Saccharomyces cerevisiae S288C: one gene and its partner. The protein of the gene in region 1 interacts with the protein of each later gene in a pairwise test. Each region holds a gene or a part of one and is shown in the gene's direction. Other genes may lie near its edges.

Evidence for each region. The genes of interacting proteins can lie anywhere in the genome.
Region 2: the proteins of SEN34 (region 1) and SEN15 interact in binary tests that used the Saccharomyces cerevisiae proteins (3 or more experiments, as listed by UniProt).

Annotation. Positions count from the first base shown.
Region 1 is NC_001133.9:156,740-162,134, forward strand, and holds SEN34 (tRNA splicing endonuclease subunit SEN34), read left to right. Parts: upstream 1-2,226; coding exon 2,227-3,054; downstream 3,055-5,395. Other genes in the region: replication factor A subunit protein RFA1, read right to left, coding at 15-1,880; YAR009C (truncated gag-pol fusion protein), read right to left, coding at 3,858-5,395. UniProt on the Saccharomyces cerevisiae protein: Constitutes one of the two catalytic subunit of the tRNA-splicing endonuclease complex, a complex responsible for identification and cleavage of the splice sites in pre-tRNA. It cleaves pre-tRNA at the 5'- and 3'-splice sites to release the intron.
Region 2 is NC_001145.3:388,278-391,985, forward strand, and holds SEN15 (Sen15p), read left to right. Parts: upstream 1-2,821; coding exon 2,822-3,208; downstream 3,209-3,708. Other genes in the region: ferroxidase FET3, read left to right, coding at 545-2,455; SAM complex subunit SAM37, read right to left, coding at 3,255-3,708.

The DNA of each region.
Region 1 (5,395 bases):
GATTATTTGATACATTAAGCTAACAAAGCCTTGGATAACTCATCGGCAAGATAGTCGGCTTCAGCCCTGTAATTCAAGCTGTGTAGGTTAGCAACGGTATATCTAATTCTGCTTTGATCATTGTATGTATCCTCACGCGCTCTAATCCTAAAGTCATATTCGTTCATTTGGATACTTTGAGTAATTTTTGTGAATTCGTTGGGGTCTTCTTCCTTCAAAGACATTAATGTATTAGCATCAACACCCAATAATTGTTTAGCTTGGTCGTCAAATAAAGTGAGCCATAGTTGATTGGTTTCGTCAATAATTGATATTGTCAAGATGTATCTCCAATTTGGCCTTGCATTATTGGTGTCGCACTTCTCACATCTCCAAGTACCATCAGGCTGTTCCAGAACTTTCTTATTACAATTCTCATTAGAACAGGCAGGATATGCAAAATTATCAACTTTTAAGAAACTTATAGCAGCTTTAACACTAAAAAAGTCACCTTTCTCGCTTCTTCCTAGATTTTCAGCTTGAGCTCTAGCAATAGTAATACGCTGAGCAATGAATTTTGTTAAGCTAGCAGCCGATTGACCACCCATACCGGGTTCTTGCTTTAAAGTGATGAAGTTTGCGTTGCGGCCCTTGGAATCATACCAACCCTTTAAGGCATATGCCTCAGGAATTTCTGGATTCGGAATCAGGGTACTAGAAAATCCCATAGACAAAGATTTGCCACCAAAATCCGTCACACGAACACCTTTAATGGCAGCAACAGAACCTTCAGGAAGGTTGAAATCAAGGGCTTGCTGATTCCATAGGCCAACAGAGATAGAAAACCCAGAGTCGTCAACAATTGTGATGTCACGACGATCGAATTTCTTCCCAGCCCTTGAAGTTAGCTCAAAATGTGGGTTTATAGTTTGGATAATACCGAGGACGTCTACGTTGGAATTTACTTCCTGGTTCTGAATAGCATCTAGTTTGATGAAATTGAAATGGGTTTTCGGAACATTACTTTCATCGAAACATTCTTCTATAACAGTGTCTCTATCCAAATTCAGTTCATAAGGGTGTGTTAGATTAGTAAATTGGGGCTTAGCTGGTTGGAGTTTTGCCTTTGATACATAGTATACTTTGCCTTCTTGTAAAATTTCGTTAAATTTTGTAGCAAAATCATTAAACGCCGTGGCTCGGATTTCTCCAGAGGTATCCAAGAAGTTGACATTGAATAGTTTACCATCACCTCTTTGATTGTGCCACGTTTTAATTTCTCCCTTGTAGGAAACTCTTGCTTTGATAGTCCAAACGTTTTGGTATGGAGACAGTTGTTCGATGGCAAAAATTGGTCTGGTTTTTTGCGAATTAGGGTTTTCATTGGCGAATTTTCTCTCATTTGCATTCAAGTTTGAGTTTGAATGCAGCATATCAGGGACACCAGCATTGCTGGCGTTTGTTTGATTGGCAACATTACCACTGTCAGTTATATCTTCGTCTTTTAAGGTTTCATTTGGATGCTCTGAGAAATAGTTATCCAAAAAAGTACTAGTTTGGTTGACCATATCAGCACGCGACTGGACCAACTCAAAGTCATCTACTAAAAGAACGTATTTCTTTCTTTCCCTGACAATAGCAGGTTCTGCAATTATCACGCGAATGATATCACCCCTTTGTAGTTCCATTGACTGGAACTTGGATGCAGCTTGGTTTCTCAACAGAGCCTTCATATGGTAAATACCATCGGAAATCATGATCAAATTCTTTCTGTTGCTGTTAGCCCCATCAGATTTCCTGGTGTTATAAACTTGATAAACGCCACCGGTGGGATTATCGTACCTTTGCTTATTGGTGAAGATGCTATGAAAATCGCCCCTCGAAAGTTGAACACTGCTCATCTCTTGTAAGTATAATCTGGTCTTCTTGCTGGTTTCGCCTTTACCGTAATAAGAAGAGTGAATAGTTTTTGTTTTACGTGTAGAACTTAAAGTGATAACATTTGTTCAAGTAAACCTTTATGTTAGTTCACGCGTCTTTTGTCGCCTCGTCTAATTTTTACGCGTGACATTTTTCCAAGCAGAGATATTTTATTGAGCAGCGAAGAAGAGTTAGAGAATAAGAAAGTGATGCGATAAGAAATCCACCCAATTAGCATAGATCCTTTCGTATATGGCTGAAGAAGGTGGTACGCGCATAGCTATTAACATATATGCAAAAAGAACGGCAAAAGGCGAGGAGGTTTTTATGCCACCGCTAGTATTTGACATAGATCACATCAAACTTCTAAGGAAATGGGGTATTTGTGGTGTGTTATCTGGAACTTTGCCTACTGCAGCACAGCAAAATGTATTTTTGTCGGTACCTTTGAGGCTTATGTTAGAAGATGTGCTGTGGCTGCATTTGAACAATCTTGCCGATGTGAAATTAATAAGACAAGAGGGAGATGAGATTATGGAGGGAATAACATTAGAGCGGGGCGCCAAACTATCTAAAATTGTCAACGATCGTTTGAACAAGTCATTTGAATATCAGAGAAAGTTCAAAAAGGATGAACACATTGCAAAATTAAAGAAAATCGGTAGAATCAATGATAAAACCACAGCTGAAGAATTGCAACGGCTTGATAAATCTAGCAATAATGACCAGCTAATTGAATCTTCTTTGTTCATTGACATTGCTAATACCTCTATGATTTTAAGAGACATACGGAGTGATTCAGACAGCTTATCCCGCGATGATATCAGTGATTTGTTATTTAAGCAGTACAGACAGGCAGGAAAAATGCAGACCTATTTCTTATACAAGGCATTGAGAGATCAAGGGTACGTTTTGTCCCCAGGTGGACGTTTTGGTGGGAAGTTTATAGCATACCCTGGTGATCCTCTTCGTTTCCATTCACATCTGACGATACAAGATGCGATTGATTATCATAATGAGCCGATTGACCTAATATCCATGATAAGTGGTGCAAGACTAGGAACGACTGTGAAAAAACTTTGGGTCATAGGCGGTGTTGCGGAAGAGACAAAGGAAACTCATTTCTTCTCAATAGAATGGGCTGGATTTGGTTAAGCTGGGAATCAGTCATGTATAATTATTTTCTCAGAATTTATGTATTTATAAGGTTTTTCAGAAGCATACATATGTGTAATACAATTTTTAAATTTGCATTGATATTTTGATGCATTCAGCGGGAAAGTAGTTGTTTATCACTAGACATATAATTATGTTTATTTATATTTAGTGGGAGCAAAACAGTTTATTGAATGTTTACCAGAACCGAAAAAAAAGCTCTTCTAAACTGTTGACATCCAGTTCATTTACTTCCACGTGTAGATGTGAAGGAACAAATATTTTAGCATCGTTCATACAAGTAATTATGCTATATTATCGATCCTCGGATTTCAGCTTCCGTTATATCGGATGATTGTTACTCGACCTTTATGTCGTCTTTTTACATCATATATGATAATATGCTAGCAGTTTTAATACAAATTGATCGAAGATAGTTGGTTCTGAGAAATGGGTGAATGTTGAGATAATTGTTGGGATTCCATTGTTGATAAAGGCTATAATATTAGGTATACAGAATATACTAGAAGTTCTCCTCGAGGATATAGGAATCCTCAAAATGGAATCTATATTTCTACATACTAATATTACGATTATTCCTCATTCCGTTTTATATGTTTATATTCATTGATCCTATTACATTATCAATCCTTGCGTTTCAGCTTCCACTAATTTAGATGACTATTTCTCATCATTTGCGTCATCTTCTAACACCGTATATGATAATATACTAGTAATGTAAATACTAGTTAGTAGATGATAGTTGATTTCTATTCCAACATACCACCCATAATGTAATAGATCTAATGAATCCATTTGTTAGTTAATAGTTTAAATGTTTTTATCGGAAGAGGTTTTGTCATCACATCAGCAATGTTCTTCTTGGTCTCGATGTAGTATACGTATAAATTATTACCTGATACTTCATCTCTAAGTCTCATTGCCTTTGTGCCAAAAAATCTGTTTCTAAATTTCTCTTCATTTGTAGACTTAATTATACTGATCGTTGATCTACTATCAGTAAGTAAGCCTTTAATAATTGGTTTCTTGTTAAGTTCTTGTATCAGGTAACTTAGATTATTTAATAATGGGACAGATTCACTTATCGCGTGTATTTCTGCTTCCGTAGTTGAAGTACATGTTAATGAAGCCTTGGTGGACTTTCCTCCAATTACCTTTCCATTAAGTAAATATATGTTGCCAATTTGTGATTTATAATACGGTTGGTTGCCATACGAAGCATCACTTATTGCGACTAGTTTATTATCTGGCTCGGTAGGTTTGTTTTTGTGCCATATCAGTTGTTTATCTCTAGTGTCCCACATGAATTGTATCAACTCATATGTCATGTCTAAAACTTGCCTAGAGGGGAATAGTATATGTTGAGCAAGTGTGTTGATGTAGTATAGTAAGTCAAATCTAAATTTATATCCAACATATGAAGCTAGACCAATCAACTTTTGCATTTCATGTACCTTCTCTTTGTATTCATCTTCATCTATTTCTAGTTCATCCTGGTCTATATAAAGACCTGGTTGACCTGGAGCTCTAAGTTTCTTTCCTTTTGGGTTCAAAGGTACGTTTAGTTTGGGTAATTTTTCTGTCAAGGATTTTTCCATACCTAATTTCATGTATTTACCTCTTTGATATTTGATTTCTAAGCCAAGTATGTCGTACTGAATTTCGTTATCACTTTCACCCAGATTTATTATCTTTGTATCGTATTGTTTCTTGAGTGTTGTTATGATTTTCTTATTTGCATTTAAGTCTTTGCTGAACAATATCATATCATCAACGAATAAGCAAATTGTTACTTGACTATTCTTAAATACGCATGACCATCCACGAACTTCTTCCATACCACACTGTTTTATCAGGTATGATTTGATAGTTTCGTACCAGTTCGCTCCACTTTGTTTCAATCCATAAAGTGATTTCTTCAAACGTATCAACTTATCATTCATTCCTAAATGTGGTGGAGGTCTTATGTATAATTCTTCTTTGATGTCTGCATACAAATATGCCGAAGATATGTCTAATTGTGTAATATAGTAGTTATTGTCTAATGCAAGTGACAGGGATGTCATCAACGCATAATGATGTACAGTGTTGGATTGCATACCTGTATCGTACGTATCAGGATGCTGAATGTCACCTCTTGCAACAAATCTAGCTTTATGAGTTCCGTCACGTTTCTTGTTGAAGATAAACATTGAGTTTATTACTCTTTTAGGGTCTATTTCTTTTCTGTCATAATATTTGTCAGTGTCCCAAGTATTCATTTTCAATAGTTGGTTGACTTCTTTGTGGTATGCCTCGATATATTTTTCTTTTTCTTTAA
Region 2 (3,708 bases), on another chromosome or scaffold:
ACAGATACGAGAATCTGTGCTGCCTTCTTTGCGATAATGCCTTGGCTTGCCTATTTCACGGTTACAGGAATAATAACATGTTCATACCGTTTCAGGACCAATAAATGGTCTTCTGCGAGAGAAAAAGGACACTCTCCGTCCGACAGAAATAAGCTTTACTTTCCGGGTGCGAATCAGCCCGTTGCGCCTGGGGTGGTCCCTACAGTACGCTGAGTCGCCGATAAAGACCCTCCGCCTAGAGCTAGGCGAGGCTGACTTAGGCAGGCCCAACAGGCAAGGCCCATCTTCAAAAGTGCACCCATTTGCAGGTGCTCTTATTCTCGCCAATTGCGACAGAAAATGAAGGATGCACTCAAACAGTCGATCCTTCGAGGGAGTATGCCAAGGCCTCGTGCATGTAGTGCGATTATATATATATATATATATATATATATATGTATGTAAGCAGGCCATGCCCTATAGCTCTTGTTCTATAAGCGATGGATAGGCATAGGAAACGAAGAGGACCCCAGTGTAAGGAAGAGTAGCAAAAAATTAGAACTAGATGACTAACGCTTTGCTCTCTATAGCCGTTTTGCTTTTCTCGATGCTCTCGCTAGCACAAGCGGAGACGCACACGTTTAATTGGACCACTGGCTGGGACTACAGGAACGTTGATGGGCTAAAGAGCCGTCCCGTGATCACCTGTAATGGCCAGTTCCCATGGCCAGATATAACGGTCAACAAAGGTGACCGTGTGCAGATTTACTTGACCAACGGAATGAACAACACCAATACTTCTATGCATTTCCACGGTCTCTTCCAAAACGGAACCGCCTCTATGGACGGTGTGCCCTTCTTGACGCAATGTCCAATTGCGCCAGGCAGTACTATGCTTTACAATTTCACGGTGGACTACAATGTAGGCACCTACTGGTACCATTCACACACGGACGGTCAATATGAAGACGGGATGAAAGGTCTTTTCATCATCAAGGATGATAGCTTCCCCTACGATTACGATGAGGAACTTTCTTTATCGCTTAGTGAGTGGTACCACGACTTGGTCACGGACTTGACGAAGTCGTTCATGAGTGTTTATAATCCGACAGGTGCTGAGCCCATCCCACAGAACTTGATTGTTAACAACACGATGAATCTGACATGGGAAGTCCAGCCCGATACGACGTATCTTTTGAGAATTGTCAACGTGGGTGGGTTCGTTTCGCAGTACTTTTGGATCGAGGACCACGAAATGACCGTGGTCGAAATCGACGGTATCACTACCGAGAAGAACGTAACGGATATGCTTTACATCACTGTCGCTCAGAGATATACAGTCCTGGTTCACACTAAAAACGACACGGACAAAAATTTCGCCATCATGCAGAAATTTGATGACACCATGTTGGATGTCATTCCAAGTGATTTACAGCTGAATGCAACCTCTTATATGGTCTACAACAAAACCGCTGCGCTGCCCACACAAAATTACGTGGATTCAATTGATAACTTCTTGGACGATTTCTACTTGCAACCGTACGAGAAAGAAGCCATCTATGGCGAGCCAGATCATGTGATTACCGTTGACGTTGTTATGGATAACTTGAAAAACGGTGTGAATTACGCCTTCTTCAATAATATCACCTATACTGCACCAAAAGTTCCTACTTTGATGACCGTTTTGTCTTCAGGTGATCAAGCAAACAACTCCGAAATCTACGGTTCAAACACGCACACTTTCATCCTAGAGAAGGATGAAATCGTGGAGATTGTGCTAAATAACCAGGACACAGGTACCCATCCTTTCCATTTACATGGTCACGCTTTCCAAACCATCCAGAGAGATCGTACATATGATGATGCCCTAGGTGAAGTTCCTCACAGTTTCGATCCGGACAACCACCCTGCCTTCCCAGAATACCCAATGAGAAGAGATACTTTATACGTTAGACCACAATCCAATTTCGTCATCAGGTTTAAAGCCGATAACCCAGGTGTTTGGTTCTTCCATTGTCATATCGAATGGCATTTGTTGCAAGGTTTGGGTCTTGTTCTCGTGGAGGATCCTTTTGGTATCCAAGATGCTCATTCTCAACAACTCAGTGAAAACCACTTAGAAGTTTGCCAGAGTTGCTCTGTGGCCACTGAAGGTAACGCCGCTGCCAATACACTGGATTTAACTGATTTAACTGGTGAAAATGTTCAGCATGCCTTCATTCCTACCGGTTTTACCAAAAAAGGTATTATTGCCATGACATTCTCCTGCTTTGCCGGTATTCTTGGTATTATCACAATTGCAATTTATGGTATGATGGATATGGAAGATGCGACCGAAAAGGTTATTCGAGACTTGCACGTGGACCCTGAAGTCTTGCTAAATGAGGTTGATGAAAATGAAGAGCGTCAGGTAAACGAAGATCGTCATTCCACTGAAAAGCATCAATTTTTAACTAAAGCCAAACGGTTCTTCTAATAAAGGAAGATCATGTATTTTGCGGTTAACCTGTTTTTTTTTTTTCGGTCAAGGGTTCCAAATGCATTTGCATGTAAAGTGAATGCCCTTGTCTTACTTAATATTACATAGACATATACTTAATAATCTACCACGTTTCAAATTCAATAATGCATGCTTCTTGGCGGTTTTTGACATGAGATCCTCATCTGTCACGAGGCTGATGTGCATACTTTTACTTTTAATCGATGACATGATCAGTTTCTTTTGAACAAAAAGCCGTTATGGGTTGAAAAAAAGTGAAAATGAAAAAGTCATCAGAAATATATGAAAGATATAATAAATTGTCGAAGAGAAATTACGTCGAGGAGGTTGAGGAAAATAAGAATGGCAACGACAGATATCATATCTCTAGTAAAAAATAATTTACTCTATTTCCAAATGTGGACGGAAGTGGAAATTTTACAAGACGATTTATCATGGAAGGGAAATAGCCTGAGATTACTGAGAGGTCGTCCGCCTCACAAGCTGAGCAACGATGTAGACACAGAGCATGAAAATAGCTTGTCATCGCCACGCCCGCTAGAGTTCATATTACCCATCAATATGTCACAGTACAAAGAGAATTTTCTCACTTTGGAATGCTTGAGCCAGACATTTACTCACTTATGTAGTCCATCTACTGAAAGAATACTGCTGGCCATAATTAACGATGATGGTACAATTGTTTATTACTTCGTTTATAAAGGAGTACGAAAACCGAAAAGAAATTGAAAAATGAACTTAAAGACACCTTTCTGCATTATTTTGTTTATTTTTATTATATGTATTTACAGGCTAAATTATATAATGACATCACAACGTTTCCTTGCTCTCTAAATTGAGGATCTCTTTGCTCCAAGTTATTACTTGGTCTATGGACGAAGTCATCAATTTTGTTCGACATACTATTCAATAATTCACTTCCAAAGGTTTGTTCCAGTTTTGAACGGATGCGGTTACCATCAGGTAGGCCTAACTGAACGTAAAGATTTGCAAGGAAAAGAAGGTCGGAGGAAAGTATTACAGAATCATCCAGTTTTTTACGGGCAGCCAACCAATTGCTGACGCAACTCTGTAGTCTATTATCAAATTGAAGATTATATTTCACCTGTTGTAGCTCTTGCTTACCCTTAATTTTGTTCTTATGCGCAATTTTGAAGGTCTTTGATTGTGCTAGTTGCGAGGCTGACTCCATTGCTTTACTTTCTACAAATTCTTCATCATCCTCAAGG